Linked DNA regions of Mus musculus: all the other regions are reported to be linked to region 1. The links are microRNA targets in miRTarBase. Many come from high-throughput screens and were not tested one by one. Region 1 holds a microRNA gene; each other region holds the end of a gene's coding sequence.
What was found. The annotated mature microRNA mmu-miR-298-5p reads GGCAGAGGAGGGCUGUUCUUCCC and lies in region 1 at 2,091-2,113, shown strand. An mRNA with a match to its seed (bases 2 to 7 or 8) in the 3' UTR can be bound and repressed. Matches are read on the target gene's strand: a 7mer-m8 pairs with bases 2 to 8, a 7mer-A1 pairs with bases 2 to 7 and ends in A, and an 8mer does both.

Region 1 (3,112 bases):
GCTGAGGGCATAGGTTTGGGATGAGCTGGCTGGGAGCTATAGGAAGGCACATAGGAGCACACTTAACAAGCACTGAGGGCCACATGTGAGGTGTCTACTTGGAGGAGTGGCTCGTGGCTCCTAGCTGCCCTTGCAGGGGCTCTGGTACACTCAGGAGTCAAGTGGTTCTTCATGTGAGCAGAAGCTGAGGGGTGACTGGGGCTGATGGAGGTCTGAGCTACCCTCGAATGAGGATTTGGGGCAATGTTCACCGAAACGGTCAAGTCAGAGAGGCTTTCTCTGGGGCCTCTGACAGTGTAAGCAAGAGGCACCCTCCCTCGTACTTGTGGGATCTTCAGCTCTTTTGCAACTCAGCCTGTAGCTAGGGATGGGTCTTTGTAGTCTGCTGGACAGATAAGACAGACATCCACCCCAAGTGAAGATACAGAGCATCCTCTCTCCTTGCAGCTGAGAGCTGGACTGAGTGCTACACAGTTTTGAAGGAACAACTCTAGAGTGTCCTTGAAGATGATGGGGCCCGCTTACAGTAGCTTCTCTCGCAGCACCTCTAAAGTCACCAGCTCACCTTCTTGGCAGCCTGGAGAGCTACGTGTACCTCCTGGCATTTCTCTGTTTTCTGAGTGATGGGAAAGGGGCTTATATGGCCAACACTTGGAGCCACATCTCTAGCCGCCAAGTCAGATGTATTGGGAACAACTGCACAGAGGGGAGAGGACTCCGCAAAGGGCTCACACTAAAACTGTGCTCTTCCTCTGGGGGGAGGACTTCAGAGGGAGTACAAAGTACCTCAGCCCCTCACAGCTTGGTGGTGATGCACCCCTTTTCTGAGAGCCACTTAGCGCAGGATTCCTGTGACCCTTCTGTGCTGAGCAGCTCTTGGGCCTGACACCATCCCCAGCTGTCCCAGCCTTGTTACCTATGGGTGCCTGGGTTGGTTGTCCATGTTGATGGTTGGGATCAAGGGTGGGTGGGTGTCCATCAGATGTGTCTTTCTGTGATGGGCCTCACTGTTCTTCTGTTTGCTTCTGCCTCCCACTGTTGCTCTACTGCACCCGTGGGAGCATGATGGCTCTGCTCCGTCTCTCTTCTCTGCTCAACCAAAGAGTTTCAGAAAAGAGAAAGGAAGCCTTTTCTGAAGTCTCTAGACTTGATTTCTTGTCCTCAGTGCTTGCCCTGGCTGAGGGCCCCGTACAAGTGAACTCTGGGAAGATGATTTGTCTAGGGTCATGGACAAAGGCCTTAGAAGATGACTTCCAAGCCTATTTCGTTAACGACCTGCATTCATTAGAAAAGGACCTGTGTTTTCAAAAACATGGCTCTTGTGTCTCACATGGTCAGACAGTAGCCAAAAGATTGCCCATAAATATGTCTTCTGATGGCTGTTTGGCTACTAGGACAGAACCATTAAGTTGAAGAGCTTAAAACTATGACCTTAGCGGCTGTGTGTCTGTTTTGTTTATGTCTTAACATTCCCTACCCCATCTCTCTGTTCTAAGCACCTCTGAGCTCTCAGCACAGTCCTGCCTTTGAAGCCTTGTGTGATGGGGAGCCTCAAGGATTGGAGCCTGCACTTCTTCAGCTGCTTCTGCTGTGAGCACAACATTCAGTCCTGAGGAAAAGGTTTGCTAAGTAGGAGAACTTGGGGGTTCTTCCTCCTCAGGTATGGATTGATTTTTCACCTCACAGAGACCCAGTCAGCACCCATGGGGTGGGGCATTTGAGTTGGGAGGTGGGTCTTGCTGGAGCAGAGGCCCAGCAAGGTGGATCCTTCTTGGAGCGTGGGAATCTACAGGGCTGCTTAGAAATGGTTTGATTGGTTCATAATGGCACCTTGATAGAACAAGAGGGTTTACTGTACAGGATACTTGCCACACCATGGCCCTCTTTGTGCTACTACATGCAAGTGAGTGAGTCCATTGGATGGAGTGGTCATAGACAGATCTGGCCATGAGATGAGTGTCTCTGGACCCCCACTAACTAGCTCCTGCCCAATTGACTGCTTCCTGAGCACCACAGCTATTTGAGGTAGGCTGGGACGTTCCTGCCGTGCTTGAAAGAGACACCAAGAGGCATAAGAGGCCCAGGCCTTTGGCAGAGGAGGGCTGTTCTTCCCTTGAGTTTTATGACTGGGAGGAACTAGCCTTCTCTCAGCTTAGGAGTGGGCCAACAGCTTCCTTCCGATCTCCAGGAGAATGTTGCTGGTTGACACACGGAACTCATCCTCTAAGTTCCCCCACCCATCAAGGTAGCTGGTGGAGTCAGAGATAGATGTTTCTAAAAGCCATGGAGAACTTTGAGGTCTTGTCATAATGCCCTGAGCCTACTACTAAGACTGCCACCTTCCCATTGTCGATGCAGTGGCTTCTGAGCGCACGTAGCTGGGAAGCGGGTGAGCGGGCCAAGATCCAGGTTAGTGGGCATTCGAGACTACAGAAAGAGACCCTCCTAGGGTCTTGGGGTTGGGGAGACAGAGGCAGGGCCCCTAAGAGGGGATCTCCATCTGTGTGCACACAGAACAGCCTATGTGGAAGGTGACAAGAGGGCCTTTCTGGAGGGCCCCCCCTCAATCCTGTTGTGCTCGCTTCAGAGGGTTGGGTGGAGGCTCTCCTGAAGGTGTCCGCAGAGCGTCGCATGGTAAGTAGTCCCTTGGGGCTCTAGAGAATGCTTGCTGTCTTTGGCTTGATCCCAGTGGCAGCCTCTGCTAGACTAGTCCTGCCCCCCAGTTAGTGCTCATGGGGTACCAGAGACCTGACCCCACCCTGTCTGCTCTAGGCTAATAGTGCCCTGCTTCCCTGGGCTTGTACCACCTTGTGTAGTATCTCCCTACTCTTCTGTATCCTTGGCTGGGAAACTTGCTTCCTAGCACCAGACCTTCCTTGATGTGGTTGTTTGCTTTCCTTTCACTTATCTTTTCTTTCCTACAGGAGTGGGATGGACATCAGTCAGATCCACACCGGTCTTCATGGCAGCCCCCCTTTTTTATTTATTTATTTATTTATTTTTGAGACAAGATCTCACTGAATTATCCATACTGGCCTTAAAACTTGGAATCCTTATGCCTTAGACTCCAGCATTTCTGGCATAAACTGCTGTGTCCAGTCTAGAAGGCATT
Region 2 (3,112 bases), not on the chromosome of region 1:
ATAGAAGCCGAGGGCACCAGCATTCTGTTTGCAACCATCCTGAGATGAGGGCCCATTTCCATCTGAAGGGGAGAAGCTACCTGAAGAAAGCCAAGGATGAGCGAGCCGGGATGCAGCCCGCCAAGGCCATTCACGAACCGGCTGAGTCTCCAAGAGAATTCTTCAGACCAGCCAAGAAAGGGGAACACCTGGGTCTGAGCCGGAAAGGGAATTTCAGGCCCAAAATGGCTAAAAAGAAGCCTACAGCAATCGTGAATATCATCTAGAGCTTGGGTGGCTCGGAAGCATCACCACGGGGCTTACCAAATGATGTTCCAGAGTCCAACAGCGTTGTCCTTTTGGACATGTAGCCGTAGGAACGCAGGGAACACAACAAACAGGGTCACTCTGATTAACCAGAATGTAAAACAACCGGTTTCAGGAAACACGAGCGGGTAACTTCTTAAATAATTGGGCCAGTTTCTCGCAGACCTGGCACCCGGGGTTCCTCTACCCAGTGCCCATTAGTACGTGGGCCTCACAAGATGCCAGACTCTGGTATCCACTGCTCTCTGAATTATGAGGCAAGGAATGTGACTGTGAAGTTCTTCTACTTTAAAGAAAAATAGTATTTTTTGGTGTTCTGAGACAGGGCCTTGTTATGCTATGTAGTCCTGGCTGGCTTGGAGCTTTATATATATATACCAGGCTAGCTTTGAACTTGCAGCAATCCTCCTGCCTCTGCCTCCTGAGTGCACAGGTGTGCGCTACCACACCCAGCTGGGAGTGTAAAGTTCTTACCAAGAGCAGTGAAATAAAAGCAGAGCTTTTGTGGTTTGCGTGTAGACGCCCTTTGATACATTTGAAAGTCTCTACGGTAGAGGTTCGTTCCTGTTACCCTTGAGGATTCTGGTTAATCAAGATTTTAATCTCCGTGTGGGTTACAGGCCGTGTTTAGTTAGACCTCGGTTCTCACTTTGCCAGGTGGCTTTTGGGGTTGTTTGATTCACATCTGGGTCCTCCAGGGCCTATTTATTCAGGTCTGGGTGCACCCCTCCTGCCTTCTTTGGCAAAGCACGCTGCACCCCCAAGAGCTGTCTACCGGCCTCTGCAGAGATAGCTGCTAAAACCCTTGGGGTCAGCAGCATCTTTGATGTGGTGCCCAAAATGCTTGATGTGCTAGAGGGGGGCACACTCAGTGTACCATGGCCATCCTGGCCATGCTGTGGGCACGCCCACCATTCTTCTCCCACCGGCTACTCTGGAAGGCTTGCTACCGGTTACCTGTGAGCATGCTCTTTGCTAACTTCCGTTTCAACCCGGAAGCTCACTTTGCCTCCTCTTGCTTCTTTAGCCGGTGTACACTTGACCCCCTCCCAGCCACACCTCTGGGGTGTTCATTGTGCAGTGCATTCTATTGTAATTTCAGATGATAAAGAATGCATGCGGACTATGACCTGTGATACTACCCTCCCCAAATGACACTGTTCCTATTAAAGAAAAAAAAAACTTTAAAAAATCTCCTGGTTTAAAATTTTCTTCCAGAAGGAATTTATATATTTTTTTCCTTAAATTAAGCAACACCATCAGGTCTCTAGAGTGTATTTGTGCTGACATTCTTTCTAAAACAGGAATAATGTTGTCCATAAGTATATACATATATATATTACATACGCTATATATATGTCAAGTATATGAATAGTTTATTTTTAAATACTCCTGGAGAAAGTGTGTGTTTGTGGTGGGTGGCTTTAAAACTATATAGCTTTGTTTCTGTAAATCAAATTCCTTTACTTTAAAAATTAAGATTGTAACCTGACTAACACTTGTAGAATTATTGTTATTGCAACAAGCATCTGATTAGCGTATTACATTAAAATAGATAATAAAGCAGTTCCTTGGGATGACAATAAATTGAAAAGGATAACTCATCGTTTTCAGATACTTTGAACCTGTCCTTGTGGAGGAGAGGTTTCTGTGTGAGTCTTCACTGACTTCCGGCCTATGGGAGCAGATCTTCTGTGTGGTGTGCAGGCAGATTCCAAGTTGGGGAAAGAAACAGCTGCGTATCATATCACTGTTGAGGCTGACGTTGTGAAAGCTGTAATGTTATTATTTATCTGGATAAGAAATCTCCGCCATAGTTATTTATTGTTGATGTTTATATCATGGTTGCACTTTTGCTTTGTCCACACTGAAAACGTGACTTGCTGATTGTATCGCATGCTCCCCGTCCTGTAGTGTGTGCAGTAACAACACCTCAGCTTTGACAAACATATGGACAGATTTGTTTCCTCTTTTATTTAAAGTAAGTCATTTTTTGGTGTTCCTTTAAAGAGCCTAGAAGGAAGGACAGCCCTCTTTGACAGTGGTCCATGCTCGTCTTTGGATATAACCTTGTACTCTATATACACTACTCAAGACAAATAGTTTTAAGATTGACTTACTGAATTTAAAAACATCTTTTAAGTTTCAGCTGCATTCTGATCCCCATAGAAGGAAATGTGTTAAGTATAACAGACTCCCTAAAGACATAAATCTGCTGTTGAAGTATGGGAGCTGTTTTAACGGAAGGATCATTCACCTACATCATGGCTAAGTTCCATTTATATGTCATCTACACACACACACACACACACACACACACACACACACGCTCTCGAGTCCCCTCAGGCAATCGACCTTAGATTTGAAGCAGTGACTTTTTAAACAAATCACCAAAGTTTCTGGGAAACTGTTATCAAGAATTAACTGAGGTATACATTGAATTTTATTATTTATTTTGTAAGGGGAAAAGATCTTCATTTGAACTGTTGTGTCAATGCCCCACCCTCTCCCCAAACTATAACAGATTCTTATGTGTAAGTGCGGCTTGCTTGGAAGCTGTATTCCAGTATGCTGCAGGGCCAGTCAAATGTATAGATGTTAGAGTATTTCTGTTCCCAGGATGGAAAAAAAGAGAAGTTTTTAGATTATGAAATACTATGATAATAAAGCTATATTTCTGACTAACACTTTGGTCTGTTCCTTCTAGGTCAAGTGTTTTGTTTTTTTTGTTTTTTTTTGAAAGTCACATTTATTGCTCCACTAACAGCAAACAAAACTATGCTTCACAAATAAACTGTTCCTTTTG
Region 3 (3,112 bases), not on the chromosome of region 1:
ATAATATTAATAATAATATTAAAAAAAAACTTAGGTGTGATGGCACACACCTTTAATCCCAGCACTCGGGAGGCAGAGGCGGGTAGAGTCCTATCAATTCAAGGCCAGCCTGGTCTACAAAGAGAGTTCCAGGATAGCCAGGGCTATCTAAAGAGACCCTGCCTCAAGAAAACAATACAACAATAACAACAAAAGTCAGGTAAGATGCCAGGTCTATAGCTTTCTATGGAGAAGGGACTTGGGAGGGAGGCAGGCTGGGACAGATGGGTTTACCAGACAAAGGTTTTGGGGTAACCCTGAGGGAGGGAGCCACTGTTAACAAAACCAAAAACCAAAACCAAAAACAAAACCCAACAACAACAACAACAACAAAAAAACCCAATCCCTCCTCTGGATCAGTGCCCCCCCTCCCAAATAAAATGAAGGCATCCAGAGCTCTAGGCTGTGGAAATGGGGGTACAGTAGCTATGAAGCAGACTACACTGGCCCTCTCAGCCTGCCCCACTTGCGGTAGGTTGTTGGTTCTGTCTCCCCTCCAGGCTGGCCTCAGGACCCCAGGGCTTTTTCACTCATCGTATTGCCTACGTATTTGAATTAAAAATATACGGTGGCTCAAAATGTCCCCGAGTGTGCGCACATGAGGTGGGGGCCCTTGCCTGTGTCCTGCGCACACAGAATATATTAACATATATATTGCTCAAGTATATATGCTATTTACAGAATATATCTCTATCAACATAAAACATGTATTTATAGGTGTGTACAATACACAGTCTCATCCTAGCAAGTCTAGGGGTCCACACAGGGGGCAGGGGGCCAGCACACTTATATGGTGGGAAGGGATGACTGGAAAGGGAGACAGGAGGGGTTCTGGAGATGTGTACCCCGGACAATCAAGGCCTTCCAGAGAGAGAAAAAGGGGACTCAGGGGCCTCACTATAAAGCCCCGCCCACTTGGCCATTTCCCATTCGGGACCAGAAAATAATAAGATTTGGTTTTAAGGGTTTTGTGCAAAAGGAGTTAAAAAACAACAACAACAACAACAACAACAAAAAAAAAAAACCAAAACCAAAACCAACCAGAGTTGATTTTGATTAACATGCTGGGTTCTGGCTTCTACATGATTCTAGAAGAGTTCCTCTGGGTGTGTTTCTGTGGCCCAGAGAGGAGGGAAACACAGTTTGTACAAGACTGTGCAGGGGTAGATAAACATTCCCTCCTCTGACCTTGTTGTTGGAGATCGTGAAGCACAGGCTCGACAAAACACCCCAAGAGCAAAAAGTCTGGTGGACCCCCCGCAGTCCCAGCTAACAGCGCCATATGAAGGTGGTGGAACACTGGCATGCCCTGCAGGGGGTGCTATGGGGTCCTGGTGTCTTGTATCAGAGCTCTGCTCCCACTAGCCCTCCTCAGAAGACACGGCCAAGAGTCTTACGATACATCTTTGCATTTGTGTCTGTCCCCAGAGACACAGGGTGCTAAGTCTCACTGAACACTGGGTACCCTAATAAGACTCAAACAGGCTCCATCCCCTCCAAACAAAACTACTCTTTCCCCAGCCACCTGTATGCAAAGACAACGAAGAAGAAACCCCGCAGGGGTAATGTCTCTCTACAAATGCTTGAAGATAGCTGCCTCCCAGGTTATCACCGTGACCACAGATTGCTGTGTGTATTTCGGGCAGGTATATGAGCTGTGGGGGCTGAGGCCTCTTTATCCCCTAAAAGTGGGGCAGAGAGGATGATGGGGAATTCTCTAGGCTGGTCTAAGTGACAGCTGGGGAGGTGGGACATGGCCCAAGGCACCCTAGGCCTGGGCAGGTGGGGATGCCCACCGCTGAAAGAAGCCGAGTCTTTGCTTGCCCATGATGGGTCTGGGGAGAGCGAACAAAGGACAGATAGAAGCTGGCGCTCTAGGCTGGTGGGAGAGGGGGTGTCCTGGGATCCCCTCCAGGGACAAGTGCTCTGGGGGGAAGTTTGGCCCAGGGCCCCTCTTGGCAGTTGTAGAGGAAATCGACACAGGCCCTGTGTGGTCAGCAGGTGGGGGTCTAGAGTCTTGCCTTTCCTCCCCAGCTTAGGAGTAGGAACCCCACTGCTACTGTCTGAGGCTCACTGGCCATTATGACCTGAGGGTGGCCTGCTGACCTCCATTCTGAGGGAACCAGCCCCTGAACCTCTAAAACTAGAGCAGCAACCATAACCATCAATTCAAGGGGGGGCTCACGGGGGCTTCCCCAGCTCTGTACCCCCAATCTTGCTCCACCAACTCCCTAAGATGTCCCTAGGTGCATCAGGACCCCGATCCCAGTGTCTCACAGGAGGTGCCAGCTTCCTTTGGTGTTTGCTGCGGGCTGTAGGTGAGGCCTTGGGCTGGTCCCAAGTGTCCTGGGCCTCGGAGACCGCTTTCTGGGGTGGAACTTGGGGGAGGAAGATGGGCACACCCCCACCGAGCGGAAACAGAGTCATTACTGAAAAGGCTGGGGACTCTGGAAGGCAGGAGGAGGATGTGGGGGTGGCCCTAGCTCAGGCCCAGGCCTGGAGGAGTCAGGAATCAGGGGAGTGTCCCAGAGGCCCCTTCCTTAAAGGTCCTGGGGCCGAGCTTTCAGTCCATAGGGAAATACTGCAAGAATAACCTTCGTGGGGGGAAAGGCCCAGGTGGGCTGTGGCAGGGAGGAGCCCAGAGACGAGTCTAATGCTTCCCTGCTTGACTGACCTTCAGGGCATGGATAACCCCACTGATATTCTCTTCTGGAACCTGCAGGGCAGGACGCAAAGGGGGGAAAAAAAAGTGTGTGAGCCCAGGTACCTGGTCCCTACCCATACAGTCCCCACCTGTCCCCAGGGGCCACTTACCAATGCATGGTCGAACTTGAAAGTACTGATGTAATATGCTGGGATGTCTGCAGCTGCCAAGGGCTCTGAGATCTGGGCTACAATCCCACATTCATCTAGGGAAACACAGGTGCTCAGAGAAGGAGCTCTACCACAGAGCCACGCCCCCAGCCCCTCACTGGGGGATTCTAGGCAGGGGCTCTACCACTGAGCCACGCCCCCAGCCCCTCCCTGGGGGATTCTAGGCAGGTGCTCTACTGCTGAGCCACGCCCCCAGCCC
Region 4 (3,112 bases), not on the chromosome of region 1:
ATATATTCGTGAAGACTAAATGTGCCCAGATAAAATCGTCTCAAGAATCAGTAAGAGCAGAGGAGCCTGAATTATGTAAATAAAGAGGAAAATGCAATATAAAAATAAAATCCAAAATGAGTGCATTAAGATGGTGAACATTATGGGCATTTTTAAAACCTGCATAATTTCTCCAGCATTTCCAAACAAAAGGAAAAGACTGACTGCCATTTCTTGAACTTGCTTGCTTTTTCATAAATTTTACTCTTCACTATGAGAAGAGTATAGATTGACCCATGGCTGCAGCCGCATATGTAGCAGAGGACAGCCTTGTAGGGCATCAATGGGAGGAGAGGCCCTTGGTCCTGTGAAGGCTCGATGCCCCAGAATGCCAGGGCAGGGATATGGGAGTGGGTGGGTGGGTGGGGGAACACCCTCATAGAAGCAGGGGGAGGGATGGTGGGATTGGGGGTTTCTGGAGGGGAAACCGGGGAAGGGGATAACATTTGAAATGTAAATAAATAAAATATCCAGTAAAAGAAAAAAGAAAAAAGAAACCTCTAGGCTGTATGGTCTATTCAGGCTTGAGCTGTTCATGATGAAGACATACCATGTACAGCCTAGTCCGTTCTAACGGGCAGCAGGATCTAACATCACCTTTGGTTACACGAATTACAGGACATTAGATAGGAATATATAAAAATATAAACATACAGGGTCCCACTCCGAAGTCCTGTGTAGTCCTGGCTGACCTGGAACTCACAGAACTCCACATGGCCACGCCTCCTGAGTGCTGGGATTAAAGCTTCACCGTGACATCAGGCTCAAAGCTGTGTAACTTCCAATTCATCAATTTACCATAATACAACACTTGTATTTTTCAGTCTCATACTAAGAATTCGTTTTTAAATTTAAAAACATTTCATTCTTTTGGTTTTTTATGTGTGGGGGATGGGCACGGTGTACGCGCACTGCAGAGTGTTTGTGGACAACTTGCTGGGGTAGAGGTTCTCACAAAGGTTGCCCAGGGGTCAAAGCTCAAGTCATTGGTCCTGGTGTCACCAGCTGAGCCAGGTTACCTGCCCTGAGTTAACATTAACGTTTTTATTAAAACACGTTGCCAGTCTGCTGAGAATGCCCTGTTGAAGCACCCAACTGTTTATATTAGGTTTGCATTACATTAACCACAATAAAACCGTCAGTCTGCTTATTTAAAATATTTTAGAGGCAACAACCTCTAAGAGGAAAGGTATGAAAAATATAAAAACTTGTACTTTACGGAATGTTTAATAAATCTTCTTTTTGAAAATATACGTTAGTAAATGAGGGAAGCCTTGACTATTGCCACAGCTGTACAATACCTTTCCACATTCCTGCAGGAGTCAGTGGCCTATGCCTCTAACCTCTACACTTGGGAGGTAGATACAGGAGGAGTCTTGGCTACATAATGAGTGGGGCCATCCTGCGTTAAATCTCGATATCTTAAAGTAATTATTTTATGTATGTGTGTGGAGGCATGGGTGTTCGTTCACAGGGGCCCACAGGCCACAAGTGGGTGCTGGGTCCCTTGGAGCTGAAGTAGCGAGAGCCGCCTGCTGTGGGTGGGTGCAGAATCTACACTCCGTGCCTGCTGGACAGGCAGTGTGTCTTCGCCTCTCCAGTGTCCTCAGTTTCCTTGTCTTCAAGAACTCAAAACACACAATAAAAGAATAGATATTACTATAACAAAACAATGAAGCACTCATAAAATCTGCTGTTTGAAAATGTGATCATATTCTTCATAACTACAGAAACCATGTCACTGGACCAGGGTTCCGCAGTCACAGAGAGGCGCTAACGAACAGGCAGGAGAGCATTTTAATTCAAGATACATTCTTTAGTTTATATTCTAGAAAATCACATTTTTGGTACTTTGATACCATGTGGTTGACCACAGAAATAGCTGCCACAGTCCACGGCTACAGGAGCTGAGCTCTGCTGAATACAGGATCTGAAATGAATCACGTCTCACGCTATTTACATTCTGTCAGTGGCCAAAGCAGGAGTTTGTGCATTTACAGATATGTATTAGGACAACGTATTGATTCCCGGGATTTAAGAAACACAGTCACAGCTGAGTACAGCCCACCAGCACCTTCCAGCAGCCATAGGCTCTGCAAACACACAGGACAGCTCGACACTGAACACTTCAAATGTATTCAGAGAATTTCAAAACAACGAACGCCCCCTCCCCGAGTCTAAGCAAAGCAAGTTTGACACTTCTGTGAGACCAGTGGAACCTGCAGCTCAGACTTCAGGATTCTGTCATTAGAATATTGTTTAACTTTTTCATAGGAAAAAGACTAAGGGAAGATCAAATTCAGAAAACTTATTTATCTGAATCCAATCAGATCCATCATTCAGAGACATTAAGACATCTTGCAAAGAACTCAAGAGGTGTATGGGCATTCCTGGTCGGGACAGACACCAACCAGGAAATGATCCTCCCAGGCCGGCCTCACAGTGTCTTAACTGCGTCATCTTCTCTCTTTGTGTCCCTGAGAGTTATATATCCACAGCTTATAACCTGGTCACTGGAGTTGTCAGATTTTAGTTTTTTAAATGTCAGCTCCTCCGGCAGAAGAGACGTGCAGCGCTCGAGGGACTGTTCGATGTCATCGATGGTCCACCTGTCTTCGGGGAGGGCGTGCTGTGCAAGTGTGAAGGGCCCCTGTTTGGTGCGGGTCAGCTCCAGCACGCTGGCACAGGAAGAGAGCTCTACGGTACCCAAAAGGAAAAACGCAAGATGAGCCGCGTGGCGTTCACAATCCACAGTCTTCCAGTCAACAGAACTTCTGACCTCCCAGGGTGCCAGCCCAGCACCAGAGCCCAGAGCCTGAGGTAAGTCACTGCTTCAGCAGGAAAGATGATTTAGGGATGTAAATTTATACCTGTTTTCCTTTCTTGGCATTTGAAGCAAGCCCGGGACATAAATATTCCCACTACCTTGCAAATAGGATAATGTGACCTGTCCACTCATGTGATCAGGGGACAGCAGAGGCAGAGAAGGCACTTTCTGGGTTTGTAAGATTATGGCTTCCAGTTTTTGTTTTTTGTTTTTAAATGATTTGTATCAATGTAAATAATTTTTACA

Region 2: the mRNA of Zfp365 is a reported target of mmu-miR-298-5p. Seed matches in the 3' UTR shown: 7mer-m8 at 718-724 and 8mer at 1,085-1,092.
Region 3: miRTarBase lists Castor2 as a target of mmu-miR-298-5p. Seed matches in the 3' UTR shown: 7mer-m8 at 73-79.
Region 4: miRTarBase lists Trub1 as a target of mmu-miR-298-5p. Seed matches in the 3' UTR shown: 7mer-A1 at 952-958, 7mer-m8 at 297-303 and 7mer-m8 at 57-63.

The regions. Positions count from the first base shown.
Region 1 is chr2:174,266,554-174,269,665 of GRCm38, reverse strand. Mir298 (microRNA 298) reads left to right here and starts at 2,081; the gene lies at 2,081-2,162. It overlaps Mir296 (microRNA 296), which reads left to right and starts at 2,541; the gene lies at 2,541-2,619.
Region 2 is chr10:67,885,984-67,889,095 of GRCm38, reverse strand. It overlaps Zfp365 (zinc finger protein 365), which reads left to right. Exons shown (of 5, transcript NM_178679.2): 5 at 5-2,991. The coding sequence ends at 266. Among named protein-coding and RNA genes, the nearest start is that of Zfp365, 25 kb to the left of the region's middle.
Region 3 is chr5:134,137,872-134,140,983 of GRCm38, reverse strand. Castor2 (cytosolic arginine sensor for mTORC1 subunit 2) reads right to left here. Exons shown (of 9, transcript NM_030719.3): 8 at 2,854-2,948; 9 at 1-2,755. The coding sequence ends at 2,690. Among named protein-coding and RNA genes, the nearest start is that of Rcc1l, 37 kb to the left of the region's middle.
Region 4 is chr19:57,487,633-57,490,744 of GRCm38, reverse strand. Trub1 (TruB pseudouridine (psi) synthase family member 1) reads right to left here. Exons shown (of 8, transcript NM_028115.3): 8 at 1-2,736. The coding sequence ends at 2,477. Among named protein-coding and RNA genes, the nearest start is that of 6720468P15Rik, 19 kb to the left of the region's middle.